2 linked regions of the Lytechinus pictus genome follow. The protein of the gene in region 2 binds, or shares a complex with, the protein of the main gene of each other region. Links are inferred from orthologs where the notes say so. Each region holds a gene or a part of one and is shown on either strand. Other genes may lie near its edges. The genes, in order: adrenodoxin-like protein 1, mitochondrial; acyl carrier protein, mitochondrial-like.

Region 1 (17,541 bases), on a different chromosome or scaffold from region 2:
ATTTTTGATGCATTAAAATGGCAATGCGCTCTAGATTAAAAATACATTTCTGACCAAGTTAAAAATCATCTACTTGTATGTTCACTGGTAGGTTGGAAGCAACACAGAACCTTGAAAGACATAAGAATATATGTAATGCTCCATCTATAGCTTCAGGGATGTGTTTCATGAAATGGCTTGGCAACTGTTACCATAGTAACTGTGCTTCTAAGCCAATCAAAATCAAGGAAAGTTAGTCAGATATGACAAGTTGTCAAACAACAATTATTGGTGAAATGCTCTTCTGATTCAGGAATAGGGTTTCACATTATCCCAATAATATTACACTAACACAACTCTTAAAAATTCAATGAAGAAATTGCAATAGGATCGATAATGACATGGTATATCATCTCTAAAAAAAAAATGTAAAGAAATATAACTTGTTGATACATCTTAGACAAAAGAGGATCATACAAGTATAAAATCAGCAAAGGGAAGTTATTAAACCTAAACATTATCCTTTATCTTGTTAATAGGGAGGGGAGAGGCTCAGTCAATGTTATATTAAGTTGTATTCCAATTAATTATGTACATTTGTACAGTATTATATTTTCCCAAAAAACACAAAAAAACCCAAAAATGATTGCCTAATTCGCCTATTTCTCCAGCCTCAACCTTTTCCCTGTACTTCTGTACTTTACCATGATAACTGCTTTACATGAATATGCCATTAGCAATTGAATCTCTTGAAGTCACAGAATCTGTTCAACTTAGAAGATGTAAATAAACACGCTACATACATTCTGGTCTAAAATTGCTTCAACTAAGGCAGTTATTTGACTTACAGGATGCAGACTCATGCAAATTTATCTGTATTTAGAGTGTAAGTTGATGATAATCAAGTACCAAGATATTCTAGGCAGTTCAATCAGATTTTCAGGAAAAGATAAAAAAGCATTAAGGGATACATCCAGATTCACTATTTCTGAGCAAGATTTAAACAATTATTCTTTCTTTGGAATTTCATAATTCATTAAATGCTTTTTAATTGGTGAGAGATACTGCTTGAGATTTAATCTTATTCTGTTTAAAGTCAACCTTGACGGGTTGACCTTCCGTAAGTCTAATACTTGGCCAATTCTAGTCATACTTTTATCTGAGATGATGTGTTCCTTGGTAATTAACCAGATACATACCGTACTTTTCTGTAGTCATTATTGATCGAGTCAAAGCAAACTTTGAAACCAGATTATGTGAACCAAGATACATGATTTTTGTCAAGGTTTCCAATACTCATATTATTCCTTATATTCCTTTATTGGGGAAATAATGGACACTTAGACAAATCTAAGAATTATATCTAACAATGTGTATGCATTCTCCTATGTTCTTTAGACAAACCTGCAAACATTTTTTGAAAACTATACACTCTTCCCAGTAGCACACAGTCAAGTAATCAATTCTTTGATAATGTATATGAAATAAAACATGACCTGTTGACTACTGAATTTAGATTATCATATGCTTAAAGGGATGGTCCAGGCTGGAGATATTTATATTTCAATAAATAGAGTAAAATTCACAAAGCAAAATGCTACAAATTTGATCAAAATTGGATAACAAATAACAAAGTTATTGAATTTTAATGATTTGCATTATTCCGGTGAAACAGTTCTAGGCATGCCTTTATGAATATTCATTAGGTGGGCTAATGATGTCATATCCCCACTTGTTCTTTTGTATTTTATTATACAAAATTAGGTTTATTCAAAATTTTTTCTACCAAGAACTAAAACAATTGGATTGAAAACTGATTAAGTGAATTTGTTATTTATTGCCGCAACTTATTTCATCATAATGGAGACAGATTATTTAAACATATATAAAAGAATGAAACATTTATGATTACATGTTATAACATAAGAAAAGGGAAAGTGGTGATGTGACATCATCAGCCCACCTAATGAATATTCATGACGATGTGCATATAACTGTTTTCACAAAATATTGTCAAACTTTAAAATTCAATAACTTCGTTATTTGTTATCCGAGTTTGATGAAATTTTCAGCATTTTGCTCTGTGAATTTTACTCTATTTATTTAGATAGTAATATTTTCAGCCCAGACCATCCCTTTAAGGATGTTCCACAGTTAAAGTGAAATCCATGTCATTTTCACCAAACTTTGCACATAGATACTTTAGAACCTTAATATTCGAAATATGCAAAAATTAACATAGGTCCATGTGCTTGATTTTATGCTATAGAGCTTCAAAGTTCACCTAAATTGATGTTCTTAAAAATTGCGCATTCAAAAGAATTTTGCATTTTTAGACCGCCCAAGATTACTACAATGAGTTTAAACCTTTATTACTCAGTCAAAATACATGAAAAAGTCATCAAATTTTGCAAGAGAGTTAATAATTGTATCGTTAGAATGGAGAATTTATCTATAGTGCTATTTGTTTGCAATTTTAAGTTTAACAGCACTGCCAGTTCTTAAAAATGGCGTAAAAGATAACAAAATCCCAATCTAAAAAATGTGAAATTTCAGTAACAAACTACAAATGTACAATAAATGCTGCACTTTATTCAAAATCCATGTCATTTTCACCAAAATTTGCAGAGTTGTAAAGGAAGGTATACCTAAGAGGTACAAACATTAAAAAATAGGGGTTCATGTGCTTGTTTTTAAACTATCAGCATTTTTATTAGAGCAAATGTGCTTTTTAAAACACCAAAAATGCACCGAATACTTTGTATCTATGTGAAGAAAAAATCAAAACCACTCTACCATTTATTCAAACTCGGGGTAATATTCGTGATTCTTGGCAGCACTGCAGAGTAAAGTATTTTGAAATTGTAGAGAATTTTTTTTTAATCGTCCGTGGAATAATTCCACTTTTTAGCTTCATGAAATAACACATCGGTTCTGCAGTTTAAGTGCAGAAGAAGAGAAAAATCAGCTCATACCCGCAGCTAATTAATCACCTGTTCATCCATTGTGACGTCAGCGCGCAGAGTGTAAACTATGCGCAGATCATAATGCGCACAAACATAACTGTGGAACGTCCTTAATACAGAGATCATCAAATTCCTGTAGGATGGCAAAGTATATCATGGGAATACATGTATTAAGAAAGGCTTTTTACGAAATATTTGAGAAGAGATTTACCAGATTGTTTTCCCTGAGTATCAATACTATGGATATTAAAATCAGGATCACTATCATTACTAAAATGCCATATCATCTTTATGGTTGAACTTTTAAAATAAATTTGAAAATATATGTATTCTTCTATCATTACACTTGCTGACCATTAAATCTGAAATGAACGAGGGTACATGTCTGACCAATACGACACTTAAACCTTCATTAAGAGATATAAACAAAACCAATAACACATTCATTCATCTATTCATTTAATCACTCATTCATTTTTACATTCATCCATCCATTCATTTGTTCATTTATCCATCCATTCAAAGAAGAGTGCTTCTTTTTCAGGTATAAAACTCAGATCATTCTGATCAAAGAGAGCAGCTGGCAGGCATGTTATAATAAATTGTAACTTAATCACGCCATTTCTGGTAAAAATTTAGGTACCGGTATCATAATCGCTCAAGATGCACTTTCTGCCTTTTTGCTGTGATGCCATCCACATAGATATTGCCATTGAGAATATTGTGCATGAAGGACAAAATGCAGGATGGAGCCATCAAAACAATTTTAGCAGAACAGAGAAAAATACTCCATCAATGATCCCATAGATGAGGTCCAACACTGTTAAAAACCAGAATGTGTGCATGTTTGGGGAATTGTTCTTAATACACCCAGATACACCAGGACACTATCAGTGTAAAAGTCAATGTGTTAAAAAAGGAGTACCCTTTGCATCCTGCCCTGTTTACATGAACCCTGAACGACCTTTAAACATCAGCCTCAAGGTCACACAAGAAGTCAAGGTCAATGAGGCTGGGGTACATGACCATCAACATAGAAATTCCTTGTTGCTTTCGGAAGCTGGACCTCCATCCCCTCCAGCTCTTTGCTTAGAATAATTTGACAGCCTGTGGTGGTGAAAGAAAGAAAGGAAGAATGAAATAACGAAAGAAAGAAAGAAAAAAAGAAAAAAAGAAAGAAAGAATTAGCAACATACAAAAATGTTTTCAAGGGAAAATTTCATTTCAAAAGTGATAAATATGTTTGTATTCTGAACGAAAATTGTAATTTTTGCAGCACTATGTATTTATAATGTGCTTTTGTAATGTGAAATGAACTTCCTTAGTGGACAATAAATATTTTCAATTCAATTCACTTTGACTAAGAACTTCTGATAATGATATCTCCCACATAATACTGCTTTCTTCAAACTCAAGCACTCAGGTCGTGGACAAATTGTCATTTATATGATAATGAAATAGGAAAGAATAAGAAAATGGTCAGAAAATATAAGGCCACACTTAAAGGCCAAGTCCACCCCAGAAAATTGTTGATTTGAATCGATAGAGAAAAATAAAACAAACATAACGCAGCAAATTTCATCAAAATCGGATGAAAAATAAGAAAGTTATGACGTTGTTAAGTTTCGCTTATTTTTCACAAAACAGTTAAACGCACAACTCGGCGATATGCAAATGAGAGAGTCGATGATGTCCATCACTCACTATTTCTTTTGTTTTTTATTGTTTGAACTATACAATATTTCAATTTTTACAGATTTTACAATAATGACCAACTTGACTTAACTATAAACTGTTAAAATAATGGTAATTCCACATGTTCAGGGAGTAATAAAATTTTGTTTCACAAGACAATGGGGAGAAAATTAGAATTTTTCATATTTCATATAATAAAATACAAAAGAAATAGTGAGTGGGAGACGTCACCAGTCTGTCAATTTGCATACCGTCCAGGATGTGTATATAACTGTTTTTTGTGAAATAAAGCAAAACTTTAAAATGTCATAACTTCCTTATTTTACATCCAATTTTGATGAAATTTTCAGTGTTTTGCTTGTTGGATTTTTCTCCTTTTATTAAAATTAACTTTATGGTGGGGTGGACTTGTCCTTTAAATACTAGTATCTTGTACCAATAAATTGAAAATATATCTAATATCAAGGGTCTTATTTAAAACAAATAATGATTTTTCATTTATGATGAAAAAACACCCAGGAAAAATAAACTTCATGCAGACACTTTCAAGATAGCTGTGACTGAAAAAAAAACATAATTTACTAGATCTCCTTGAGATATTAATACAACACATATTAGTGTATTTTTTCAATCACTTAAGAATGATTTTTGGGTGCAATTTTTTTCCTGGGCTTAATTCTTATAATATATCACAGACACAGGTGACAAGTAGGACCTTGTAGCCCTGATCTTTTTAAAAACAAATCATGGTTAATTTCTGCCTTTCAAACTTTGAAGACTCATTTTTCTATACTATACTACTAAAGGTGATTGTTGGCAACTTACTTAATCTTGATGTTGATGTTAGAAAAGGGGCCAGATCCAACATGTCTTCCTCCCTGAAAAAAAAAATAACATAACATGAATATAATAGCTAATTAGCTATATTTTGTATATATCTACTAACCTTGCCAGTAGTAATTATATTGTGTCTGCAAAACAGCTAATATATGATGAATAAAATAATTGAAGAAAATTCAAAGAAAATTTCACTTAAACTAGTTTTGATTTATTCTTCAGAAAATGAAATATGATGAACATACACAAATTCCACTCTTCAATTATTTCATAAATTATTTTTCTTTCCTTGACAGAGAAAAAAAAAATCATTACCAGTAGTATTTTGTATATATATATATATATACATATATATATATATATATATATATATCAAGCTGATACAAAATACTGGCCATTGCAGGAATTACATTAAGAAAGCATGAAGTGGCCTTTAGAGATATGAATATTTCTATTTAGTATAGGTAACCCTATACTTGCAAATCGCAGTGCTGAAGTACACAAGTTTGCATGTAATACCTCTTGCTTTGATGCTATATCTGATTTTATGAAAAGTCGTCATTTCTTGTAAACTTTTAGGTTGTCATAAATAATTACTATTCAAAAAGTAAGCAAGAAATATCAGATCACACAGATCTATTGAACACAAAAGATTAAAAAGAACTCTTGGGTACCCCGAAACTATATCCATTTATAATATAAATTCATTAATACTAATGTATGGAAGAGCGAGGTTAGAATATTGTCAACTTACTCTTCCGTTGATTCAGGTAGCATATCATAATATGAATCTGGTAAGATAACATGACACGTACAGCAAGCAAGAGAAGCTTCACAGGCACCTGATAGAAAGGTCAAAGGGAAAATTAAACTGACATTCTGCAAGTAGGAGAGGGTTTAGCCCTTAAAGCTAAATGAAAGTAGTTGCAGTAAAACACTGATTTTGTGAGAAAGTCTTTAAAACCAAGGTTAAGTATTACTATATCATCATGGATCTAGATCTGGTACAGTAACATAAACTGAACTTTGTGAAATCATAAAATCTAAGCTGAAAAACGATCACACTGAAGATCGTCAACACAGATAGGCACACGTGGGACAGTGTATATTATTATTGCTGGAATAAAGACCCGACAGAAGTGTAAGAATCCGCGCTTATTTTGCTTATTTCTCAGCAATTACACAATTTCTTCTAGAATCCTTTGGCACAAATTTTTTATTCATACAAACAGACACTTTGGTGGTCATTAAAATTGGATTCTATAAAAAGTCATTTAGAGATCGTTACCACAACTGACATTTATATTTAGGTCCAAGTCCTACCCATAGAAAAAAAATCAATTGTGTTCTTTTGAAAAAAAAAATTATTGTATTTCATAGTCTCATAACGAATTTCCTGCAATATTTCATCAATTTGACTCTTATATGATACATTTATGATGGCACACTCTCATCATTAATGGTTCAAATGAGTTACTGGAAATATTCAAACTCCTAAAGGATAAATTTTCTATCAAATTTACAATTACAATGATAGGCAAGCCCTGCATAAACAGAAATACAATCTCATCTCTATATTTTAATTAAAGGGGAACTAAACCCTGTCAATTAGTTGGTTTTAATAAAAGTAGAAAAAAAAATTATTTTTGTGAAGTCACAAACAAGCAGCTACTCCATATGTCATGTGATATAAATATCCCAAAATGCCATTTTCTAAACAAAAAATTGAAGGGGATTTTATTTTTGCAATGGATATATCATCATTTCATATAACCCTTAAAAAATATATTTTTACTCATCATAACCCATTAAAAAATAGACACAAATTATGGGAGATCTGCTCGCATATGAATTCATAAATCAAAAGCTTAAAAACTTCATAACTCTTTTATTTCTTGATGGATTTCCATCAACCCTAACCACTATTTTCTTATTTTTTTCTGCTTTTATTAAAACCAACCTATCATCAGGATGTACTTCCCCTTAAAAAAAGCATCAAAATCTCACCTTCTATTTCAATACCATATCTGTGTGCCAAATACATGACATTGTCTCCAACCTTTCCTTTCACTTCTATCCTCTCATCGTCTTTTGTCACATAGGTGATATTCACTCTACAAGGATAGAGAAAACATTATATTTTATATTATTCTAAGCATCTAACATTACATTCTATGTTCTCACTGTATATATTGTAAAACAAAATGTTCATGTCAAGTGAATGGAGTGTGTTGATAAATTAAAATTCATACTTACAATTACATGTTTGTTCATATTCACTATTCATTATTTGATTAATAATCATTTGAACATAAAAATACCATGTCACATATTGACATTTTGATTTTGTTTATAATAATTGGAAACAGTTGCAGCAATCAAAATTTTCATCTAGACATTTCTCTTGCAAAAGAAATGTTTAAAAAAATGAGTAAAATGAATTTGTTCATACTAAAAATAATGATGCAATCGGTCTTGGGAGTTAATAGGCTATTCATATTCATCTGTGAAATGATGCCACTTGAAAGTGATGAAAATGTCTGAAAATCATCTATAATGATGACCCCATTTTTTCTATGACTGAAAAGAAGTTTAAAAAGTCTAAATTCAGACTGGAAGACTAAAGTCTGGAAGTCACCATGTAGATTCCCCACAGGCAGGATGGTTGCAGTGAGCAAGTGTATCATATACTTTTTTAATTGTTGTTGCTTTTGTTACTGATCTTCATGCTGTAAAGTTAATTTGTTGCCTTTGCTTAATGTGTTTTGTTTTGGTAAAGAAAAGATAACTAGTTCAAGGGCAAGGCTCTTATTTTTATGTGATGGGCTAACTTATTGAACAATATGCCTCTTATTCTTAATCATGAGTTAGCTGTAGAGTTCTTGTCCTTAAACTAAAGTATAGACAATCTGTCATTATTCTATCATTTTTATTATTAAATGTACCCGGTACATGAATCTCTCATTTAGAATTTTATATAAGAAATAGATGATTTTATCAACCCATCCCATGCCAAGGAATGGCATTAGTCTGCTGGAATGGGATGATTTCTGTAAAAAGCCTAAGGAAGTAAATAAATAAATACTTATTTGGGTAAACTTACATATCCTCAGGAGACTTTGGGTCTTGATACTCATAATCGCCGTGCCTTAGTCCACCAGCTATTAAATTACAAAAACACAAAAAGAAAAACAACATTCAACAACAATGTTTTTTAAATGAAGCATGACTTTTCTTTTAGTTACTGTCATACTAGTCTACTTATAATATTCTCAGTTAAAATGACATGATAACATTTGATGGGTATTTGACCTTTCGCTCATTATTTCACGATAATCTATGCACTGGAATAAAAAGGTGAAAGTTCGTACTAAACCCAACACCAATTCCTATGGTTGGGACATGATCGAACTTTCATACAAAAAAGGCAGAAATACGTACCAATAGAAGCATGGATATGTCGTGAACCAACCACAGAACGGGTGATCTTCGAGTGGCTATTGCTTCTGATCGATTGAAAGTGAGTTATATTCGCTGGTTTTGTGTACAACGAGCGTATAATAACTGGTAAAATCTTATGAAACTGACAGACAAAATGCTTCATGGGCAGCGCCATCTTGAAACTAAACGAGTTCGCCGAAGAGGGACGTATTTATTTGTCTATGCATGCTGCGCTTGGCTTGGGGGCTTGGGGGTCACGCGCGTAAAACATTCCCCATAGACTTGTGTGTTAAAATGGCACTTAATAAAAATTCATAAAAATAAATGTGAAATTAGAGGGTCGAATGTTTACTACCTTTGGATAGGATTATATCTGACATTCCATATCTGACCAGAGAAGGGTATCGTAGCCAGCTCATTTTAAAAATAAATCGCCATTTATGAAGATAACTATGATGGGATCAAATCATAGAGATATATATTAGTATACATCTCTATGGATCAAATTCATCAACTGAAACAGTAAAATAGCCCCAATTCTTCCGCCAGTCAAAAAATAGTTCCAAATCATTGATATATCTTCCCAATTTGGGCAAAGGAAGTTCAGTAGTTACCATTTCTAGAATCAGTGATAGATTTTGAATCATATTCATATACTTTTGTCAATCAGCAATATAAATTGAAAAAAAATCGAATGGGTTGGGTCGAACGAATATCTTTAGCCCTCCTGATGTAATTAGGCTCGTGGCACCTATATCATATGACCTATATGAATTTTATTTTTTTTAATAGCTACTTTGCTTTTCTTTTATATCTCTACACTCACACTAGCACAAAGAAATGCATTAAAAATTCCTATTTTCTATGCAGTGACCCATTTCAATGTTACTCATAATTCACTATATGGATGTATACAGCATATCCTACCTGTATTATATATAGCCCAACAGTGAATGCAATGACATTATAGGCCCATATTCTCCTTGTAATATAAAGGTGTATGTAAATTTTGTGTAGATATCAGGATACCAGAACTGCCCCAAACATAATTACCAGATATACATGAGATTAAATGAGGAAACAATAAAAGAATGAGAACATATTACTTTAGTACATTTGCATTTCACCTATTATATCAAAATCTTACTAGGGCTATTGCCTATCAGATGTAAGAAGGAAGAGATACATAAATAGATAGAAAGAGAGAGAGAGAGAGAGAGAAAGAAAGAAAGATAATTTTATAGATGGCATGGCTTATAAAGAGGGGGGGGGGCTAAACTAAGATTGGAGCCGTGCAGCCACCCCACCCCTAGTAGTAGTATTTGTAGTATAGTAGTAGTAGAAGTAGAAGTAGAAGTAGAAGTAGTAGTAGAAGTAGTAGTAGTAGTAGTAGTAGTAGTAGTAGTATTCTTCGAGTATTTTTACTACAAATTTTTCATCAGGGGGTGGGTGCAAGTTCCCTTTTATACCTCGGGGTGTTTCACAAAGATTTAGTGTGACTATTAGAGTCGCACTTAAATATGCCTAGTTATTATTATCATCATCATCATCACCATCATCACTTCACCATCATCATCATCATCAAAATCACAATCACCATCACCATCATCATCATCCTCATTTATATTAGATTTAGTTTTGTATTCTTTTCCGTTCAACAAAATAAAGAAAATGCAATCAAAGTTACAATGCAAAATAACAGATATAGTTCAATGATATTACATACACGTATTTAAGATAAATTAAACAGGAAATAAAGTGAGCTGCAATTATTTTGGCTATAAAGAGTATATGGAACAAAACGGAGGGACTTGCCAAGAAAAGCAAAGCTTGTGAGAGGCAAGCCTTTATAACTAAGTTTCAATACCTGATTAACAAAACAATATATAACGGAGACGGACTTAAAACTAAAGAAAGGCGAATAAAGCGACTATAAAATTGAGAGAAAGTAATTTGAATAGTAATTATAATGATAAAAACAACAACAACAATAATAATGATAAATATGAAAAAAGTAAAGAAAAGGCAATAGTATTTATAAAATTATAGTAAGGAGAAAAAGGGAAGCAAATGAAGGAAAGAGGGAGGGGAGTGTGGTGAAAGTAAAACTGAAAATGAAAAGAGGAACAAGGCAGGTGCCGACAGGTGCCGACAGGTCGTTAGGCATATGTAAGTATCATTATCTAGAATAATATTTGACAAATTTATTAATAGTAAATTAAACATTGATACTTTTACTGAGTTTTGATTATATGTTGGTTTGACTTGTTTGGTGCAGTATTGAATAAATTAAGCATCTTTTTAAGGTTGTGTTTAATGCTTGGAGATTCTTTAAAGTCGTTGGGTCTGGAATTCCAATAGTATACACCGGTCCAAAAAAAGACAAAAGGGTTGTTTGCTATGTACGTTGGGGGTAGGTGGTAACAGTTACGTTGTCCCGTTGGGTAATCGTGTATAGAGTATCATCATAATAATTATCCTCCTCATCATCATCATTGTTATAACGAATTGAAAGATATAATTATAGTAATACTTATTTAAGCGTCAGTGATTGCCGTTTTAAAACGACTGAATATTTCAACATATTATAGAATAAATTTACTAGTAGTTGATTCTAATCTCTATTATTTCTTTCTGAATCATATTCACACACAATTTCTGCATGGAAATGTTAATTTAATTAGACCACTCTGGTATTTTTTTCTTCTCAAATTTCACAGTAAAACAAAAACTTATTAATAAATTGAACGATCTGGATTTATTTTTTGAACTATAAACGGAAGCCTATATTATTGATGAAAATAAGGATTGGGTAGAATACAAGTTAACTTTTCCGACATCGAGCAGCTTAAGAGAATAATGCAATGATTAACTTTAGGCCTAAGTCTTTAAAAAGTGGCAAGATTTTCCGATATTGTTTCTGGAGATTGATGTAGATCTAGCGGGAGATCATGACAACGTACGGTACAAAACAAAGCTTTATTGCGATGTTCTTTTTGATCGTATGAGTTTAATTCTGTGTACGTGTCATGACTTTTTTTATTCAATGTACATAAATTCCTTGTATACTTCCTCAAAGTCTGATGGCCTATAGAAAACAACAAAACAAGTCCCAGCCCTGGCCCCGCCCCGGCCCGCGAAATTATTTTTCCCACCGAGTTCTGGACCAACATATGAATATTCATGACTTGAGTCTTCGGATTGAGAGTACGCATGCGCGTGGACTTGGCCTCGACCAAGTACCAGTGCCGATCATAAGCAAGCATTCACGTTGCTCAGAATGAATTAGCATCGTCAGATTACCGGTACCCTTACATAGTTACATAGGTCTTATAAGCTTAGATCTCTATATATATATATCAAATTCTTAAACACTTAATAAACTAGCTGCCATTAATGGCAAGACATGTGCTAGGGTAGGGCTAGCTTAGGCTAGCGCATTAACTTTACCTCAAATCTGGACCTGTCTAATTAATGCCTAGTACTAATCAGTGTTGTAGTGCCTTGATGCTCGGCCTTGGCCTTCTTTAAAGGCGCCTTAATGCCTAGCTACTTTTTCAAAGCATTGGCTTTGAGAGGGCCTTGGCCTTGAGGATTTTGAGCCTTGAAATTTTAAGGCATTTTCAAGGCATTTTCAAGGCTTTTTCAAGGCATTTTGTATTTTGTACTTTCATTTGTTTTAAATAAGTAATTATAAATGTTTCAATTGTTTTTTTATTTATATATATTTAATAACAATAATGGTCAATACTACCAATCACCAGTAACAGTAGCAGCAGCAGTAGTAAGTGTACTAGCAGTGTCATCAATTGTAATTGTCACCATTATCAAGAAATTCAAACAAAGAATACATCAGTTATGAAAAATAGCATTATGTATTGGTAATGTGTTGTAATCATATGATGATAATGACAGTAAATAATAATGGTCGTGATCAAGATAATAGTGCTTTGATGACAAGAATAATTTTTACATCTGACTGCAATTTTGACAACAATTTTCATACTTTAAACATAGCTAACTCTAAATAACAAGGTTGATTTCTATTCCATTAGGATTTTCCTTGTATTATTTTCTTTGGCCAACAAGAATGTTTAAGTCTTAACGATATTCTGAAAAGATTTGGTAAACTTGAACACAGTCTCCAATTTTGTCATATCCAAATGGGTTATGTCAATGGCATGATGAGCCAGAAACTTTGAGGGGCCAAGCATGGCATATATAGAGCAAAATTTCTGTCAAAAAAAAGAAGAAAGCGATTGAAGCGAGCGAGTGAACAAAATTTGTCCCCCTCTTTCTATAAGAAAAGCTAATTTTGCAATAGATTGTTTAAAAAATAATATCACATTTACTCCATCTTTTCCTTTCCCTTCCCCCCTTGTCTAAGTTTATTCTTGGTGGTGGGACTTCTTCTTCTCTCTATCTCTCTTCTAAATTTTATATTTGTTTTGGGTCAGATTGACAAAACAAAGGGGAAAAAATGTTTACTTCTTTTTAATCATATATTGATTGATTGCATTTATTCTTTTTCATTCCAAAATTTAACAAAAGTTACAATGTATAGCAAAACACAAAAGTATAATATACAGAAATGAAAAAAAGGGAACCCACTGGAAAGCAAAGCTTGTTAGTATGGGTTCCCTGCAATAAATAGTTAATTAAAGGTTCTGAGTCATGCAACTATATTTTGCTCTTATTAGTTTTCAATTGTTTTTCTAAGAATTTTAACATTATTAATATGATTTATTTATCTAGGATTAATAAGATATTGCTGGTTTTAGAAGTTAATTTCATAGTTTCTCACGCTCATAAGCCCCGCCTCCAGAAAAAGATCGAAAACTCTCGAGCTCGCTAGTCACGTGACTATACGTCATCAAGGGAATCTGGCAGCTCTGCAAACTCGATCATCGCGCACGTAAAAAGTTTTCGTCTATTATGTTTACGTATTGTAGCGCTGTATTGTTGAGAAAGTTTACCGAGTTCTTTTTGGAAAAGTTTTGTACATTTGTGATATTTGCGATAATATCAAGATGCCGGCGAGATGCATCGTCGGAGGTTGCAGCAACACTACGAAGGATGGTGCCAGCTTGCATTTGTTTCCCAAAGATGCAAATTTACGCAGAATATGGGTCTCGAAAGTGAAGTTGACCCGAGCAAATTGGAGCGGCCCCAGTGACTGGAGCGTGGTGTGCAGTAGCCACTTCGAAGATGCGGATTTTGATGACGGGTTGCATGCTGCTTTTGGCATGAAGAGGACCCGGCGGCTGAAGCCCGACGCTGTGCCTAAAATAAAGAGTGGGTCATCAATGCAAGTAAAGAGGAGTGGGTCACGGACAGCAGCGGACAAACGAAAGAAAATGAGGGTGAGCATATTATCTATTAGTAATAGACTTTGTTTAAAGTTTATCTTTGCAATTGTTGTGGTCAGTCAGTTCAAGTTCAACGACGGAAAGTGTGAGGATCACGTCAATTTCCTTATTTTATTTATTTTTTATTTTGAAGGTGTTTATGATGGTGGGCCCCAAGTCTGCGCATCAAACAATTTGAGTTTAGATTAACATGAATTTCTTCTTATTATTTATTAACAAAATCTTTCCGTTAATAATGTTCCTTATATTATTATTAGTATTTTAGTAATTGTACTAAATTTCTCATTAAAAAAATGAAAGAAAATAGGCCTATAGGATTTTCTTGGAAAAACCTCGTAGGCCTACTGTAATTTTCAGATTTGTCAAAAAATGGTAGGCCTACCCCGAGCCCATGTCTGCGCACTCAATCTTTGCACACGATTCGGGGATTTTGATGAGAAAGGCTGCATTTTGATGCCGTCACATGAAATGCCCTAAATCCATCATTTTGAGTCAGATTTTTTTTTAAATACCTGTCAGCCTGTAGACCTAGGCTATGGCTAGGTATTGCATGTGTAGAGCTCGTGCTCGTTGCGTATCTTCTTTTACTAGAATTGCGCTGATACGCGTGTGCGTAGACTTGGGGGAACTTGCCATAGGATACGCCTCGAAAATAAAAAAGGAAATTGAAGTGATCCTCAAACTTTCCTCAAGAGTCCAGGCTCCACATTCATGACATTGGAAACAGGTCTACGAATTCTAAATTTCTGTTGCGAATTAGAAATCCTATTAATTGTGAGTTGTATTTCAAGACAGGATCTACATTGTAGTACGTGGCTAGTGCTGTGAAGAGGTACAGTAGGCCCAACGTTAGGTCTAAAAGTTTTCTTGTTTCAGTTGTTTGTGCCATTGTGGTTCATTTCTCAAGTAAGGAAATATACAAACTCTTTTGGGGGTATGGTGGCTCTAGTGGTAAAGCGCCTGCCTCATGAACGGGAGGTCTTGGGTTCGATACCCGACCGAGTCATTAAAAAAGGGACCTCCTGCCTTACTAAAATACTAGGCACTCAGCATTTAGATTGGAGAAGGATAATAATTACAATTACATTCAGGTATTAATTATTATGTTATGCAGGGCCCGGTGGTAGAACAGTTTCCTAACTGAAGTGGCTACCCTGGGAATTAAAACGTTAGATTATTTTTACCTTTTTTTTAAAAAGCCAAAAAGTTTTTTTTTTTATTCCAGATCCAGATTCCAGGCCTAATATCATATTGTATATTGTCTCATTTTTATGTTTTGTAATGTTTCTTTGTCTTGATTTTGTATATTTTAATGGAAAAGAAATGAATTCAATTCAGTGTTTGTTTTACAAAGTCATGAGAAGGGTAAACAAATCTGCATGAAAGGAACCTTCTAAACAACATGATATTATAAGTTTGGACAAAATTGTTCATGCAATAATATACAGAGTTAAAAGATTCACAATAATGATTGTAGAAATAGTTTATACCATGGAGCTATACATGTAGATCTATATTTTTTAGAAGAAATTTTTTTTGATAGAAATAAAATTTTTTTAAAGAGTGTACAGAAATAATGAAAATGGGATGAACTATTGGGCTCTATAAGAATTGATTTGGATATACAATAAGGCATGAAAATTATCTTTGTGATAGCAAATACAACATAACTGAATTGATTTAATAATTACAATACAGGGATTAATGTAGAGATACAATGTGCAAAATATAATTAAATTAAGTTATTTGGTTGAATGAGATATAAATACAATGAAACATCTCAATTGTCATGGTTGAAGATACAGTGGAATGAATGAATTGACAATTTTATTTGAAAAAAAAACGAATTTGTATTTTTGATTATTTTCGTGGTATTACATTTTTATACTTGATAAGTCAGAAAGTCTGCCTAAAGATGCAATAATGCAAGTATTGTACTCCGGGAAATAAGTTTTAAAATGTCCCCAAAGTATTACATATAGATCATTTTGTCTTTTGACATTACTTAATTTGCATATTAATATAGATAGCCCTCAATAATAAAATGTTAGAGCGTTAGAGGTTCCATGTCCCACCAATGTTTAATTTCTCACTTTTTTTATTTTCTATGATTTTTAATAATTGTAATAAATACTTAATGCTCATTTTACCAATTAAGCAAATTAGGTGCTCCAATTTGCATAAATATGCATACATCTAATTTCTCGTACTGAAAATTTAAAATGTAATATTTGGACTTTCTTATCCCACCAATGATTACTCCATACAATGCATATATGAAATTATGTAGGGTGACTTTGCAACAGTTTGTACTCACTGCCATACATCATAAAGTAGGTAGTGAAATCTAACTGAGGTCTGAATGAAAAATAGATCTGAAGGAAGATGATTTCTAATTCCATTCAATTCAATCATGGTTTATTTCATATTAAAAAAAATACATGTTACACAGCCCAAACTTAAGGCTGAAATTAGCATGTTAATATGTTATTAATTCCTTAAGTTTATTATTTTAGAAATAAGAACACATGGCTATTGTGTATATTTTTCTCTCATTTTTTATTTAAATTATTCTCACAGATGCTGGATGAATTGCTGTCAACATCTGTTGAAGCTAGGGATGCTGAGGAGCAAGGGTCAGCAGTGGAGCCTGCATCAATGGAAAGTCCATCAGACACTGATGAGCCAGGATGCAGCCAATGGACAGATGAACATTCATCTGAGTCTGAAGAATCCTTTGATGAACAGGTATAAATTTGTTTTCAAATTGTGCACCCCCTCCCCGTGAAAAGACATGAAAGCAAACAAACATAAAAGGTAATTTAGCAGCAAATAAGGGATAATATTGAGTAAATTATCAACCACAATGAATTTAGCAGAATTTAGGATACATGTAAATTATATTGACATTTTTTTCTTTCCAAAGAAACCAAAACCTTTATGCATGTGATTCAAACAAGACATATGGTTCATGAAAAACTCATAATACTTGTCTTCCAAGTCTTAACATACCTGGCTGTGACTGAAATTACAGTTTATCCCAAAATTGATTCAGGTGTAGTTTTGATTAGTATTTGTGCTGGAAACCATACTTTATTTATGTATATAATTTTTTTGCATGTCACTGGTAGTGGTATGTACATGTATTCAGCATATTTTGGCTACTGTATTGATATCCAATTAACAGCCGTTCAAAGATCCAGCTATGGAATTTCAGCAGCATGGCCATACAACCTCTGTTGGGATACAGGTCT
Region 2 (17,293 bases):
TAATGTTCCCATACAGAAAAAACAGATTGAAAATTAATAATTCCTAGAGAATGAACAATACATAGGAAACTAAGCTCAATGCTTCCTTTTAGATAGTGGCCATGTGGTTCTGGCTCTCACCTTTGAGTCAGAGGGGTCGCGGGTTCGAATCCCTGCCTTGATATTTCCTTCAGCAAGAAATCTATCCTCAACATGAGACACTCAACCCAGTCTGGGTTACCCAGGTGAAGTAAATGGGTACATGACAGGAATTTATTCCTTAAAACAATAGTTGAACTGTTAAAGCAAGGGTAATTATGCTGCAGTAGAGCACTATATTAAGCATGAATGATGATTATTATCATACATGTATGAAAGTAGATATGATTTTATCATGAAGCAATAAAGTACCTATTTAATATATTACTTTAAGGTAGAATGTTTATGTTGCAACTACATGCAGTGACTACCTATTATTATTATGTTAAAAAAATTATTCATTGCTGTAAATTCTATTATATTTCATCCTAGCTGGATGGTTTTTTTTTTTTGGGGGGGGGGTGAGAATTTGATGTTTTATGTTTTAACTGATGTATCTTTACAAGTATGTAATATCTGTACAATGGTCACAGGTATGCAACTAGAAACTTGTTCTATTTTTAAAAACTTTCTGCACTGTAAATCATATATTTGTGATGTATCGGTTACATTGTTTATTAAAGATAATTGGAAAAAGAAATTATCCTTTGGTTTTGTCCTTTGATGGTCCTCTAAAAATAACTTTGTGAAACCGTGAGTCATGAAAAATGGAATGCAGAACAGGCTTCAGGTGAATTTGAGAATGATGTGTATCAAGATCGAGTATCCTGGGGAGCATTTCATCAACATTTTTGACAACTTCCCTTGAATTTGATTGGCTGAGAAACACTGTTTCTATGGTAACTGTCAGATAAACCGGGACTTGTCAGATATAATGTCCGATATATTCTTTTGTGAAATTCTCCAGAGTAGTCTACTTCCTCTTTTTTTTGTAATATTTTCTTTTTTTTTGTGGGGGGGGGGGGGGGAGGGAATGCAATCTCCTCTCTCATTCCATCATTGTATTGGCATTTACACACCCGCAAACTGTCACCAGTTAAAAAGTAGGGACTATCCAGAGAGAGAGCATCACTTTATCCTATTTTTGTGAAAAATCTGTATTAACCCTATGTAACCGTGCTATTTTGAAATTGCATATAGCCCAGGAGGGCACAAAACACCCCCAACCCCCCCACCACATCTCATACTTGACAAAAATTTACACGCACACCACCCATGACGTTATCTCTGCAATTCAATTGTACCAAAGTTATTCAAATTTATTTTTTGATTAATTATGCTAATTAATGCATAAAATCATAATTTGGCTGTAAATCTTTGAATATGGTCACAAAACTACTAGATTTTGGTCTGGATACTCTTTTTAGGATTGTTATCAAATGCATGTATGAAAAATGGCAATATCAATTTTTTTTCCTCATGTATTTCATTGTTTTTTTTAAATATCTTGTGTATTTCTTTTTAATTTAAACTTTGTTTTTCAATGTTTTTTCGATGGAAATTGTTGGAAACACTATTTAATTTATATATAACATAAAATCCATTGCTTTTAATCATTAAAAATATAAATAATGATACATTTATGAATTTTGGCTACATACAAAATTTACTTTGGATTTGTATATGAAATCATGTTTTTGAACAATTTTGGGTCTTACATGCACTTACACAATGTTACATAACTTTGAAACCATGTACCCCCACATTGCAAATTTGGTCTTAAAAGTTTCACAAGACTTGAAGGAAAAAGGTCATCGCAGTGTGATCTTTTCGTAATAAAAAAATGTTCAGGGGGCTGTTTTATCCCCCCCACCCCAGGCTGGATAGGGTTAAACTTTATCTCCTTTGAAATTTTGAACCACTTGGTAAACTATCTTCCTCTCTCTGAATAATTTCATGTAGTTCAGTTGACTGTTTTTCTAAATTATTATTTGTCATTGTGTATATGTGACCATCCTGTTAAATAAACTGAAATAATAGTTCTTCCTTCTTCACACCTTGTACATGTATTTGTTTCTCTCCTTTCTCACTACCATAATATAGAAATAGCTATTCTATCTGTCTCACCATCCCCTTCTCTTGACCAGATTCTCTGACCTGAGGGCCTGTTGCAGAAAGAGTTGTAATCAAATGCAACTCGACTTTCAACCAATGAAATGCGTGTATTAGGGACTTGCGATTGATATTGTTTTAGTTCCGTTTAAACGCTACTCTATTTACAATGGGCCCTGTGGCTCTCCATCACCTTTAGTCTTTCTCTTCACACTATCTTTCCACTCTCACCTCTTGCCTACCCTTCTCTCTCTCTATCCATTTCACATCTGGAGCCCATTGCAGGAGATAATAATCCAGCGCAAGTCCTCAATACGTGCGTCTGATTGGCTCAGGTTGCGGTCAATTACTGAAGTTCCATTTGATAGCCACTCTTTCTGCAACAGGCCCCTGCTCTCTCTCTCCATCTCTCAATCTCTTTCAGCAACTGCCTTGACTGTCTTTTCACATATGCTTTCTTTCCTATGTGAATAACCCCTGCAGTCCCTCAATGGTTTCATGAAGACTCCAATCTCCATCTCTCTCTCTCCTCTTCATCTGGGAGGCCAGATAAATTCGAGGCATACCCCCGGCATGCTGCTTGCTCATTCTGCTGAACTACTGAAAAAGATAATATCCATACGCAACAGAGCAGCCGCCTGCAGGGTGCATGGCATATTTTTTTTGTGTTGGTCGGCTATCAAAACCTCATATTCAAAATGTTAACATTTTCAGGACAGCTAAGAAAAGGTGCCAGTTTAGATTTATGAAATTCATGAAGCGGCATCCTCCTTTTACCTGGAAAGGGTTAAATTTTCAGACCATGTGAGGTTAGCATCATTGCTATAATTCTGAAATCCAGCTTATTCATAGCTAATTAAATGCTGAGATGAAAGGTTTTGACAGCCCACAAACAATAACTATCTTTGATGCATCACCTTGGTTAACAGAAAGCAAAACAGAAATCATTCACTGGTGTCGTCAAAACGTTTTAATTGCTACCAAATACTCTGATCAAATCAAATTACAACCATTTATTCACACGTGTAGGTGTTCGAGAAGTGCAAGGGTAACTGGCTTTATCCAACACCAGCCAGACCAAGCCAGATTAAGAACCAGACCCAACCTATTCATTCTGGATTGAACCAGATTCTTTAACGGAATCTCCAACCCTTACTTGAACAGCTCGTATCTACATTCCAGATAATTATTTTCAGTGTTATTACATGGGAACGCCTGATGGTGGGAAGATAATACATAGGATTTATCAACCAATACAAAAACCCAAAGGAGTCATTCTTGTATTGGGTGGATGCACTTTCATAGCACAATTATTCTGGGTTTTTTAATTCTATACATAATACACAAATCACATTTCTCAGCTTTTCAGGTAGATGTTTGAGGTGACGCGATATAAAATTTTAAAGGAGAAACAAAACCTCAAAGTGGGAATAGCATTTCAATAAAGCTAGAAAATCAAGGAGCTCATCAGTATGTAGATTATTGTAGAGATCTATCAGAATGATATACATGTGACTTTTGACATTTTAATACAAATAAAATTCATGAATGCCAGAGCAGATTAGCAATTCACGTGGACTGGACATGAAGATATCCTGACGATGCATCCATTGCATGATGGGAATACTAGTCCAGTCTACAGCCCTGTGTGATCGAAGTGAAGGGGGGCATCCTCGAGCCTTCACTGCATTTACTTGGTCATGGCCAATGATACAATAAATCTGTATAATCTGAAAGGAAAGTAAAACAAGGGAAGGGATAAGAGGAATAATTCAACAAAAATTAGCAAATTTTTCCAATTGAGAATGGAGTGCATTATTTATATGCAGAGTGGAAATGGGAGGGAGGAATAAAAGATAGAGAAGGAGAGGCAAGTAGAGAGAGGGAACAAAACAATTACAGAAGGAATAATTACTGATGTAAACCTCTCACATCATTCTTTTTGATTCATCTATCAAAGTCAACTGTAATATAAACTCCCAATATCCCAATGGGTCTGGTCGTAAGACTTAACAATTTTTCCAACCTTGTCAATTAGCATCTGCTATGTAGTGTATGGACAAAATCTCAGATTATTCTGAGAAAAACAATAATCCTGAAACATGAAAGACATCTGCAGGCCTTCAAATTTGATATTTTTAGGTCATGGCCACTTTTCTATATAACACATTACTATATTAAAGTGCTAACAAATGGAAAACAGTACACAAAAATATCCAAAGCCAATCAATAGGGCATTCAAAGCCATGGCCTTTGTGGTTTGAATTAATTCTAGCCCTGAATTCACACATGGTATTGATCCTCTTGTAATTAAAAAATTGAATCATGAAAACTTGATACTTACACAAAACAATGATATTGAATGTTAGTGAGCTACATCCAGTCTATCAGCTAGACACTCGACAACATCCTTCAGATTCAAGAGCTTCTCTGCAGTCTCATCTGGGATCTCAACTCCTGTCAAATATATTTCATAAATAGATCTTTTAATTAAAAGGGTTTCAAAGACATCACTACATGGTCATACCTGTATGGAGAATCTAAAAGTAATCTTAATTTTTGTATTATATTTTGACCAGATATTCCTCGCTTCGTACTTACTTGATTAATTTTGAGTAAGTTTGTGTAAGAAATAACTGCAATCAAATATAAACCGAATTCAGAGGTGATGCTTTCATGATAATGTTCAGAAAGAGGTACGGTGAGATGGAAAAGGGAAGGGGGCAACTTTATAAACTTTTTAAAAAACATGAAACCGATTGCCAACTGATTTTGTTTGTTTTTTCAAATAAAAAGTGTTGTATAAATCGCCCAACTCATCTAAATATTTGCCTAAATCAAGCCATTTTAAGTAGATTGTACAACACAACATATTTGTCTTTTTATTTCCCCATGTAGTTGAATAGATTTGTCATTCTAAAGGATTCCATTAGGACAAAGTGACTTTTATGAACCACCAGATCTATGGGCTAACTTACCAAACTCATCCTCCATTGCCATGATAATCTCCACTGCATCTAAACTATCCAATCCAAGATCTTCTGCAAATTTGGCATCAAGTGTCACCTTGGGAAATAAAAGGCGATTACATATGTGAATATATAGACCTTACACAGAAAAGCAAGCAATCAAGAATATTACATAAAGTACTCCAGTTGAGTCCAGTATGTAAAAAAAAAAGATGTCAGTTCTAGAAATATTTTCATTCGTAATGAAAACATAATAGGGATCAAATAATCTTTCCAGCTCAGAAACATATTTGGTTCACATCTGTACATCTATTTTTCAAAACAGTTTTATTCTGTAGAATGAATTTTCACTATTTCAAATATGTAATGAAAAGTCATTTTCTTCTCAGTTTTGCTCCATATTTCAGTCCTTGGTAATCAAATGTCTAATATCAATCCAGTTTGGAATTTATGAAAAATAAAATAAAAATTGTCTTGCTTAACCCTTTTCAACACTAAGATTACCTTATCTGGGTCCACCTTATCAAATAGTTTAAGGACTAGCGTACATCTTTCCTGGATACTGGATATGGTCATCTCGGCAGCTGATCCATAATGACGTACTGGCCTGTTCAGCTGAAAGACAATCATGGACAATCAGTCTTTTAACGGATCTCGGATCCTATCATCTCACTATACAATGGAAAAACTTCTTGTCATGATGCTTTTTTTCTCACATTGTCAAAATAGAAGGGATGGAGGATAAGACTAATGGAGGACAAGAAGTATCACAAGCATTCTGGTCTGTATCAGGGGTTCGATTCATAAAACTTGTTAAAATAACAAATAGTCCCACTGGAGCTTGTTTTTTTCACACAAGTGACAAGCTAAGTTGATCCAATCTAAAGGTTTAATTTTCTTTTAAATGTGTGATGCAGGGATGCCAAGTTGCCAACCCCTTACTTTTCAGTATTTCCAGGCATAAAAACATGAATTGGGGGTAAGAGAGAATTTTCAAATTTCTCCTGCAGACATGTATTTGATAATTTTGAGGAAAGGGTATTTTAATAAAACCTGCAGTATTTTTTCATTTAAAAAAAAAGGAACAGTTGGCAATTGGCATCTCTGGTAATACTACAGAATAGCCCGTTCGTGTTTTTTTTTTTTTGAGGGGGGATGGGTAATTTCTGAAAGATTTTCTAATGAACATATTGATCTTGAGATTTATAAAGCTGGGGACACCATGTGTGTTCATCTTAAATTCAAACTTAAGATTAAACATCAATTTCCTTAAAACTCCACAAAATTATAAGTTGCTACTTTTATTATTTTAAGAATACAGACCACGATTTTCCTGCAAAAAACGTTACCCATCAACAGATGAAAAAGAACAATCAAATGCACAGACAATGGGCACTGCGCAGACTAAGTTTCTTTAACCGCACATAGAATACATCTTCCACAGTCACTGTACATCCTGCACAATTCTACAAGTACGATGATACACCAACCTAGTGGAGTGTGCTTTCACGGATGATGATAAGTTTGGGAACTATGCCATGACAAACTCTCAAGTTCAATTTCTTTATTTTTTGCACCAGACATGCCCAACAGCAAAGGACAGCAGATTAAAAAGGCAAAGCCAGCCGCGCTGCCGGCGAGCAACTTATAGACCCTACCATGCCTACTGCTCTTTTTATTGGGCAATGCAAAAACTTCAGCCCTCAAACCAAACCATATTCCTTCTTCATATACAGTTATATTTGTCTTGGTTGCTCTTTTTTTTCCTCCTCTTTCTTTCCTTCTTATCTTCTTTTCCTTTTTAAAATCAAGTCAACGCAGCCAGCAACGTAGTGACCAGGGCCCCGTCTTACAAAGAGTTAAGATTGATCCAATCAGTCGCAACTATGGACGGCCAGCAACATCAACATCTAAAATACTGTACATGTTTCTTCAAAATATTTTCTATGATGTATATTCATGTATTCATTGTTTTCTTAGAAATTCACTGTGCTTCTCTTTGTTTACAAAGGACGTTGTGCCAATCTATAGAAAAAATTATGACACTGATGGATTTCCATAGAGTTACGTTTGATTGGATCAACCGTAACTCTTTGTAAGACGGAGCCCAGGGGCCCGTTGCAGAAAGATTTGCAATCAAACGCAACTTCAAAAATCATGCGCAATTTGATTTTCAACCAATCAACAGCGCGCATTTGGGACTTGCGATTGATATTTTGACTTGCGTTTAAACGCAACTCTTTCTGCAACGGACCCCTGGACAAACTAACATTAGGCCTAGATCTAGACTAGGCCCGAGTCTTGGGACGGTGATTTTGTTTTACCGGTAAAAAGTAGAGGCGCTAGTCAGAAAACTGGGATCGTCCCAGTTTACAGGGAATGTCTCAGTTTTTACAGATTTCTTCACACAAGAAATCTAGGAAAGTTCATTCACCTGTCAAGTGCCGACACCAATCAAGTGCGCTAGTCAATGTAAACATATCAGGATTCATAACAATATTATTGGAAGAAGGCAAGTCATGTAAAATAGACGGTGAACTGGGGGAAATTGAGGTCACTGAATCTATTTTTAGCACTCTCAATTCCCGTAATTGATGTCTTTGTCCCGTAGGGGGAAGTGAAAAAAAAACGTCCCTATAGCAAGGACAGTCTCATTTTATCAAGACATGATTTGTCTTGGTTTATGAGGATATCCTTGTTTTCTGGGACAATCCCAATTTTTGGACCAGCAACAGCGCCTCTACTGGTAAATAAAACGGCAATTCCATTTGGTTCTTATATTTTTCATGTAAAAATTCATGGAATTCACCTTTGCAAAATAAAATGGAATTCAGGTTTTTGCTGTGTATGGTAGTGTGACCTTAATTTGCGCGTTACCTAATTTTGCGCACGGGCGAATACCTCAATATCTAATTAATATTTTGAAAAATTGATATCACCAACAGAAAGAGCGACTTAAAATTACCCAGTATAGTAATTTTCTTGAAGGTAAGGTCTCTATTAATGAAAAGATTGGCAAAATATCGGCAAATCTTGTTACATTTGCGTCCGCTCCGAGAAAATCCGACCTTCTCGACAAGCATCAAGAATTTGCCAGTTTGCAAGCGGAAGTCTCCAAATAAGTAAAATGTGATACCAACCAAATTTATGGCATTTTAACCTGCATCTTATACAATTGTAACCTTTGGCTTTGTCTGCAAAACAATCGTGCGCAAATTAAGGTCGCACTTTTTTGTGACACTTTTTCAGCCGAGCACGCACTAGTCAATCGCCGTAGAAGAGATCGCGATACCAGCGAAACCCTTGACCTACTTTATAATTCCGTCAAGCGAATTGACTTTTAGGATCTTGCCTTCCGTTTGGTATTCATGATTTTTATTAATTTTGTGAGAGCTGTGAGAAATTTTTGAATGAAAATCAACTTCTTGATGATTTTTAAAATGTGCGCAAACTATTGGGGTCACCCCATCATACATGTACATACTTTCAGTGACAAAATGGAATTTCCATTTTTAGATCAAGAAACAAAAAAGACCATTTTTTGAAACGGAAAATCACTGTCTGTATCAGTCTATTATTAGTACTCTATAGGCCCGCACAGCACAGACACGCCTCCCTTTGGATATCTGCCTAACTAGGCCTAGTTTTGAGTAGACATGGAACATGCTGACGCTCTCTTCCAAACTCCATGCACACTGCACTGCTTGCAGCATAGCCATTTCCAATGCCGTGCCGCTCCCGAGCTCCCGATCCTGTGCCACTCTGTGGCTGTGCAGATGCAGAAACACACTAGCTAGCTAAGGCCAGCTGCATGATAGAATTAGAACTGTGTCTGTGACTGTGCCCTTGTCGCCCGGTTTGTGGCGATATTTACCTCTGTAATTCTCTGTTTAAGATTATTCTGATTGCATCTTGAATTCCCAAAACCCTGTTGCAAAGCAGCAAATGATGAACTTCGGGTTGCAATACTTCTGATATGCTGAATTCTGGCAAAATTCTGAATACTTGAGAGAACACGAAATCTGCACAGCGACGCCATGATTGCCGTAACATGTAAGGAGTTATGGTAAGCCAACTAGGCCGGTTCCGGGACAGCCCGACCACCGGACAGCCCGACCCTGGACAGCCCGACCCGCTACCCTGGACAACTCGTCCCGGTCGAGTTGTCCAGGGTTGGCTCTGAATCGGACAACTCGATCTCGACCACTTGAATTCTTCTTCAACATTTCATGATATAATATTTCAAACTTTACTTCAAAAGTATTTCCCCGCATAATCCATGTTTCTACAATACATTATCGACAGAAAATTTGACATTTCAGTGCATTTTGAGCTATTTTGAAAGAAAATAAAGAGAGTTCCCTTGCAACGAGATTACCGGTATCTTGATAAATTGATAATCCGATACCGCCGGCGAGCTGTGTTCAAATTCTGCAAATTTGAGTTGATTTTTCCGTCACTTGACATATTTTAATGATGAGGGTGTGCTATTTTGTATTTTCATATTCCATTTTCACATTTCCTCTCCTTATTTAAAGTTATTCCATTTCACAAAACTGATACTTAATGCAAACTTTTGAGATAGTTCACCTGGAAAGGACACCCGATGCGGTGCTTCGCCTCGCAGGCCTGCTGGGCGACCGGCTGTGCTGTGATTGTGACTGAGTGTGGCACTCGGCTCAACTAGCTATGCGAGGTCAAACTTACTTATTTTAGTAAAATTTTCCGTCTCTTGACATATTCCAATGGCGAGAGTGCTATTTTTGTATTTTCACACTTCTTCCACTTATTAAAAAGTTTTTTTTAATGTCACTAAGCTGATTATAGGAGTATAGGACAGTGAATGCGTGGTCGGAATGTGCTTCCCAAAACCATCCTTGACGCCCCTTTTTGGAGGCCTTTAGGCCAGGGGGGTGCTTCCAACCAACATATAAACAAATTAAGGAAATAGATTTGAAAATGTGTCAGTATGTAAGTTATGAAGTTTACAATTTTTTGTAGGAAAGTGTCTTTTTTTACTCTTTATTGTTTATTTTTGTTCTTAAATAACTACCGCGGTATTACAAATTTTTATTGTTTTCTAAGTTTAGAGGAGCAGAATGGGGGTGCACATCTGACATAGATTGGGTAATTATAATTATCAAAATTGAAAAACTTAGTTTTGATATCAAAACGGAAAAGTTTATTGAAAAAAGAAATGTATTCTGCCGAAATTCAAAAACTTAAAAAATTTTAATCAAAATCTAAAACTTGCCTTTCGTTATCGAAAAACATGTGTCTCATTTTTTACCTGTCGGTTTGTACTGTCACAACTTTTTTTTAATGCAACTTCCATTGGAAACAACGGGTCTTCTGGAGGATACCAGCACTTGGGCTGGTACCAACCACCTACACCCGGGATGAGAAGAGGTTTCATACTCGACATGCGATGGTCTTTCCATTTCTTTCACGAGCAGAAATAATACCGAGTTCCAATGACTTGGGCATCAGAGCGGCAGTCCCTTGATCGATGAGGTAAATACAGCTTTTTAGATACAATAAATCAATTTTTGTGCACTTCATGCAGGCATATCAAAGTTCAATTTTTTTTCTTCAAATTCTTTAAAAGAAAGAAAGGGCAATTGAATTCAACAATAAATTTACTTTTTTTTCTTTTATACATTGTTTGAATTGAACAAAAATTTTACTTATTTTTGGTCTGATTTGCTTTATCAGAAGAGGTGCAGACTGCAGAACTTCAAATATTAATTTTGTCAATAATTCATTTTATACTTCATTTTATCTTTCCAACTGTTTGACTTAGTTGAGACAACATGGATTGCAAACTGTACTTAGCTTGTTTTTATTTATAAAACAAAATTATAAGGAAGTGCTGAAAAGACAAGTCCACTCCAACAAAAAGTTGATTTGAATAAAAAGAGAAAAATCCAATAAGCATAACACTGAAAATTTCATTAAAATCAGATGTTAAATAGGAAAGTTATGACATTTTAAAGTTTTGCTTAATTTCACAAAACAGTTATATGCACATCCTGACTGGTATGCAAATAATGAGACTGAGACGTTATCCACACACTATTTCTTTTGTATTTTATTATATGAAATATTCTAATTCTCATTGTCAAGTGATACAACAATTAATTCCTCCTTGAACATGTGGAATTATTGTTTAATACTAATATGGTTCAGTCAAGTTGGTCTTTATTGTCAAATCTATAAAAAATGAAATATTGTATAATTCCAACAATAAAAACAAGAGAAATAGTGAGTGATGGACATCATCGACTGACTCACCTATTTGTGCATATCACTGTTTTGTGAAAAATAAACGAAAATTTAAAATGTCATAACTTTCTTATTTTACATCCGATTTTGATGAAATTTTCAGCCCTATGCTATTTTGATTTTTCTCTATGTATTTAAGTCAGCATTTTCCTGGGGTGGACTTGTCCTTGAAAGAGCCATCCACGTAAGTTAGGGTTAAGTTAGTTGTCATGGTAATCAAATAGGCAATACATTTTGAAATGTTGTATATTCTTAAACCAAAGGGGCAATTAATTAATGCATGTTAATTTGTATGGTTACTATTGTAGTTTTAAGATTGTCCATATTGTTACATCGACACCCAAAGCAGAGGATATTGTTCTCAATTGGAGTTACGATAACAAATATAACTATGGGCACACATGAATTTGTTGATATGTACAAATAATATACAAATATACCAGGCTTTAAGGAAGTATAGCAGGAATTATTTGTCTGAAGTTGGACTGGCAATTGCTAATTATACCAAGAGGCAAAAATATGACTGGGCACACATGAATTTGTGAATATGTAAATAGTAAACAAATATACCAGGAATGGTGCACTATTTGATTTTCTTTATGTGTGTTTTTTTACAGCATAGCAAGAACGTGTTTTGTTATGTGTTGCTATACTGTTTGTAAGATATAACAGAAAATTATGTGTTACTAATTAATTTTAGTTGTGATCAAGTTTATCATATTGTTACATAGAAAATAAACAGTCTACTTTACAAAAAAAAAAGTATTGTGAATATTGGGTTCTATTACTTGTGAATTTTATTTCTGCTGAACATTTTACCTTTAAGTGCTGATCATTTTGGAAGAGATGAAGTTGAAATTGGAGGGATGGAGACGATGATATGAAAAGGATGGTTATGAGAAGTGGGTTGGAGATGATGAGAGGAAGGATGGAGATGATGAGGGGATGGAGATGAGAGGAGGCATGGAGATGAAAGGAAGGATGGAGATGAGAGGGATGGAAATTATGAGAGGAAGGATGGAGATGAGAGGAATAGAGAGGGATGAAAATTATGAGAGGAAGGATGGAGATGAGAGGGATAGAGATGAGAGGAGGCATGGAGATGAGAGGGATAGAGATGAGAGGAGACATGGAGATGAAAGGAAGGATGGAGATGAGAGGGATAGAGATGATGAGAGGAGGCATGGAGATGAAAGGACGGAGATGAGAGGAAAATATGATGAGAGGGATGGAAATTATGAGAGGAAGGATGGAGATGAGAGGGATAGAGATGAAGATGAGAGTAGAGTTGAGGAGGCGATGGAGATTAGAGGAATTGAGATGAGGGGATGGAGAGGAGGGATGGAAATGAAAGAATGATCTTAAACGGATGGTCCGAGTTGAAAATAATTATAGCTTGATAAATAGAGTAGAATTCACAGAGCAAAATGCCGAAAATTCCATCAAATCGGATAACAAAGTTATTGAAGTTTAAAGTTTAGCAATATTTTGTGAAAACAGTCGTCATGCATATTCATTAGGTGGGCTGATGATGTCACATCCCCACTTGTTCTTTTGTATTTTATTATATGAAGTAAGGCTTATTCAATTTTTTTTCCTCCAAGAACTAGAAATGTATTGCTGCAACTTATTACATTATAAGGGAGACAATGAAATAATGAAAAAATGATTTTAAGTAATAACATAAGAAAACGGAAAGTGGGATGTGACATCATCAGCCCACCTAATGAATATTCATGACTGTTTTCACAAAATATTGCTAAACTTTAAACTTCAATAATTTTGTTATCCAGTGAATTCTACTCTATGTATTAAGATATAAATATTTTCAGCCCGGACCATCCCTTTTAGAAACATCACCACCAAAATCATCGCCACCATCACGATCGTCACAATCAGTGCCATCACCACCATCATCATCATCTCTATAATCACTATCGCCATCATTATCATCACCATTATCTTAATTATCATCGCTATCGCTATATTCATCGCCATCATTATCATCACTTATCATCACCATAATCACTATCGCTATCATCATTGCCATCATTATCTTAATCACCATCATCACATTACCATTCAACATCATCGTCTCTATCATCGCCACCATCAATATCACAATCATTGCCATCACCACCATCATCATTACACCAACATCACTACCAGCATCATTCTCATCCAGTCCTTATCATCATCGCCATCACCACTATCATCACCCTCATAATCGCCATCATAACCATCACCATTATCTTCATCATCACATCACCATCATCGCCACCATCATCATCACAACATCATCCATCATTATTGTCATCATTATCATCGTATCACACTATAATCACCATCATCAGCAAGCATCATCATCACCAACATCATCGTCACCGTCATCACCAATGTTCATCATTATCATCATCACAAACATCATCGCCACCAACATCCTTTTCATCATCTCAGGAATATTACTGAGAACCTCTTGGAAATGATGCAATCCCGAAGGCAATTTGACTCGATCTCATCAGTGGCGTAGCTGGGTTTTTCTGTCGAGAATGTATTGTAGAAACATGGATTATGCGGGGAAATACTTTTGAAGTAAAGTTTGAAATATTATTTCATGAAATGTTGAAGAAGAATTCAAGTGGTCGAGTTGTCCGATTCAGAGCCAACCCTGGACAACTCGACCGGGACGAGTTGTCCAGGGTAGCGGGTCGGGCTGTCCAGGGTCGGGCTGTCCGGTGGTCGGGCTGTCCGGACCCCACTAGGCCCGGTAATTCAAACCACAGAAATATACCATTACCGTTATGTTGGAAAATACTAGTATCACAAATCAACTCTCGCCGAGAAAAAAAAATAGTAAAAAAAAATCGAATGAATGATTAATCAAATGAATGAATAATAAACAATGATTAAAATAATGATAGGATCGGCAACAACAACAATAATACAGTATAATAATAATAATTAAAATGATAATAATAATAATAATAATAAAAATAATGATAATAGTAATAATAATATGTCCATTTATAGTGCAGTTACTATGTCATATACATGTACTCAACTGCGCTTTGATACTTGGTATCATTATTACCCCGGCTGTAGGCGCTAAAGCGTTCAAGGAATAAATCATACCGGGTACCCATTCACCTCACCTGGGTCGAGTGTAGCACAATGTGGATAAATCAAAATTACGCCATGGCTGGGATCCACGACCCTTAGCTGTTTCAAAGTCCGGAGACTAATCCACTGGGCCACAACGCTTCACAATAATGATAATAATAGTAATAATAATAATAACTATATATAATAATAATAAAAATAAAAATGATAATAATAATAAGTCATATTCATATTTTCCTTTGTCCGCCAATCGAGTGCTAAAAAATGAATAGGAACGTAATCGACCCCTTTTTCAATTTTTTTTTTTACACGCATTATGGGTCAGTCCGTGAGTGACGCCGGCTCCTCTCGATCTCCACACTCTACATTCCAAGGATTTATAATAAATCCAGATCGGCTGTGAATACTCGACCAGCCGAATTTATTTTTAACTTTTAAATATCAAAAGATTTAAATTCAAATCTTTTAGATATTATATTTAAATCATCATTCGGCTGGTCAATATATATTCACAGTCGATTTGGATTTATTTTAAATCCTTGGAATATATGCGAATCACCATCATCATGTATTAAAGTGAGGTAGTCAGGCAGAAAAGACGGTATTTTCAGTCTTACATTATAAATTTAAAAAAAAAAAGGTTATGGGAACTTCGATATATTTTCGTTTGTGGGGCAAATCCCAAAAAAGGGCACTGAGCCTATATGTCAAAATGCGTGTTTTGGTGCAATTTAATCAGATATTTTCTCAATGATTTTATCATCTGCGTGAAGTACTTGTGTGTTGTATAGTAATTATGTTGAGCAAAGCCTTTTTGAAGTTATTTCTGATTGCATGATCTCTGAAGGCTTTTTCCGGCGACTCGTTCCGAGCGAGCGGTTTGGAAAAAAATGTAAGATCAGGGGCCCGTTTCATACAGGACTTGCAACTATTGTAACTTTGCCATAATGGCAACTACCATGGTAACCATGATTGTGATTGACTGCTGAGCCCTGCATGTTACCATGGTAGTTGCCATTATGGCAAAGTTACAATAGTTGCAAATCCCTTATGAAACGGGCCCCTGAAGTTGTAAAACTCTCATTTTAATCGGTCATGGCTCTTAAAATAGCAACCTTGCGAGATGTTGCGAGCGCGAATCGCGAGCTCAAAGTTTTGGACATTAATTTCTGGGTTAATGTAACCATGCAGCGAAATACTGCAAGGGAATGTCTGACCCCTGCTTTTTGTAATGTACATTAATGAGCTGCCACAGGCAGATCAGATTTTGTCAAGTACTATTCTTTATTTGCGGACGACACCAAGTTATACAAGCATGTAAAAATGACAAAGATGCTGAGTTATTACAAGCGGACTTAGATCGTCTTGTTTCAAGGTCAGACAAGCAGTGGCGTAACAGGCGGGGGGCAGGGGGGGCAAGCTGCCCCCCCCCCTCTGGCGGAGCTCACTGGGAAAATAAAAAAACAGGAAAAAGAAAAAAAAGGGGGGTGGAAGAAAGGGAAAGAGAAGAAAGAAGGGGAAAGGGGAAGGGGAAAGGGAAAGGAAAAGGGAAAAGAAAACTAAGAAAAAACATAAAAAATGGAAAACGGAAAGATAACGGGAAAAGGAAGGAAAAAAGAACAAGTGAGAAAGAACTATTCGCCCCGATAAACAAATACATTAGCATGATTAGTAAGACAGGGAAATAAATTAAAGATAACAAAAAGACAAAACAAAAGCGGGAAATAAAGGCAGAATGGAATTAGCCAAAATCTATATTGGAAAATAAAGAATAGGGACAAGATAACGCAACGTACACTACCGGGCTGCCGAGGATTGAGAGCCGAGCGGGAAGAAAAATGGATGGTATATAAGCATAATGTCGTATGAAAGTCTATCATAAACTTGCTTAATCTCCAAAGGCTCTGTCCAAGAGTCAAGACCCCGTGCAGTGGGGGCTCTTCATCTGTAACCTTTAATGGGTTCTATAACGGGCTCCTATATGGACCCTTCCTGCATTAGGCTTTACGTTGAAGCACTGGCGTACCGGGGGTGGTTCCACAGCCAAGGGAAATAAAAGAAAATAAAGGAGGCAGCGAAATGAGATGAATGAAAAAAAATATATGACATGATATTTGCTATAATGATGTAAATATCTATCACATAATTAGAATTTCATTTTAACAGGCCTTTTTTTTCTGGCTCGCTTCGCTCGCTGGCGAATTTTTACAAAATTTGATTTCCCACATTTGCTATGGTGTGCCCCTCACAATATTTGGATGATTACGATACACAACTGCATTTAATTTATGTGTTGTGTTAAAGCTATATAAATATACACGCAATTTGATTAAAATAAGTGGCCATCTGTAGGTTTAAAATGGCTTTGATATCAAGAGGTTCCGGGGCTCTGCCCTGGACCCCACCCATAAAGCACTGTTATATGGATGAGTTTGGACCATGGCCCCAAAAAATTCTACAACCAAACAAAAAGAAGAAAGGAAAGTGTATTATATTTTTCTGAATATCACGTTAAAATCTATCTTCATGTTACAGATTCTCATGAAAAGGTGATTTTTTATCTCGCTCGCTTCGCTCGCTCGGGACCTATAGAGAGCTACTTCTTGCCAGAAGCGCCATACTCGGCCCCCTCGAGCATATAGAGCTTCGCCCTGATGCTCACAATCATAACAAAAATCCTGTTCACCGTGGCGTACAAAAAAAGAGAGAAAAAAGGACAAAGAGGAGGGTGAATATGATATCATCTTTTTAACATTATGTCAAAATCTATCACAAAATTTGATTTTTGC

The links.
Region 1: acyl carrier protein, mitochondrial-like (region 2) and adrenodoxin-like protein 1, mitochondrial share a complex: the UniProt entries of both Homo sapiens proteins name them as parts of the mitochondrial core iron-sulfur cluster (ISC) complex. The link is inferred for Lytechinus pictus from reciprocal best matches to the Homo sapiens genes NDUFAB1 and FDX2.

What each region holds. Positions count from the first base shown.
Region 1 is NC_087255.1:22,146,574-22,164,114, reverse strand, and holds adrenodoxin-like protein 1, mitochondrial, read right to left. Parts: upstream 9,119-17,541; 5' UTR 9,094-9,118; coding exon 8,919-9,093; intron 8,639-8,918; coding exon 8,581-8,638; intron 7,592-8,580; coding exon 7,485-7,591; intron 6,320-7,484; coding exon 6,232-6,319; intron 5,519-6,231; coding exon 5,466-5,518; intron 4,053-5,465; coding exon 3,949-4,052; 3' UTR 2,330-3,948; downstream 1-2,329. Other genes in the region: uncharacterized protein LOC135156058, read left to right, coding at 13,949-14,281, 16,868-17,035, 17,475-17,541. UniProt on the Homo sapiens protein: Electron donor, of the core iron-sulfur cluster (ISC) assembly complex, that acts to reduce the persulfide into sulfide during [2Fe-2S] clusters assembly on the scaffolding protein ISCU.
Region 2 is NC_087254.1:35,525,566-35,542,858, forward strand, and holds acyl carrier protein, mitochondrial-like, read right to left. Parts: upstream 9,237-17,293; 5' UTR 9,139-9,236; coding exon 8,974-9,138; intron 5,715-8,973; coding exon 5,604-5,714; intron 5,197-5,603; coding exon 5,109-5,196; intron 4,588-5,108; coding exon 4,496-4,587; 3' UTR 4,475-4,495; intron 3,861-4,474; 3' UTR 3,078-3,860; downstream 1-3,077. UniProt on the Homo sapiens protein: Carrier of the growing fatty acid chain in fatty acid biosynthesis.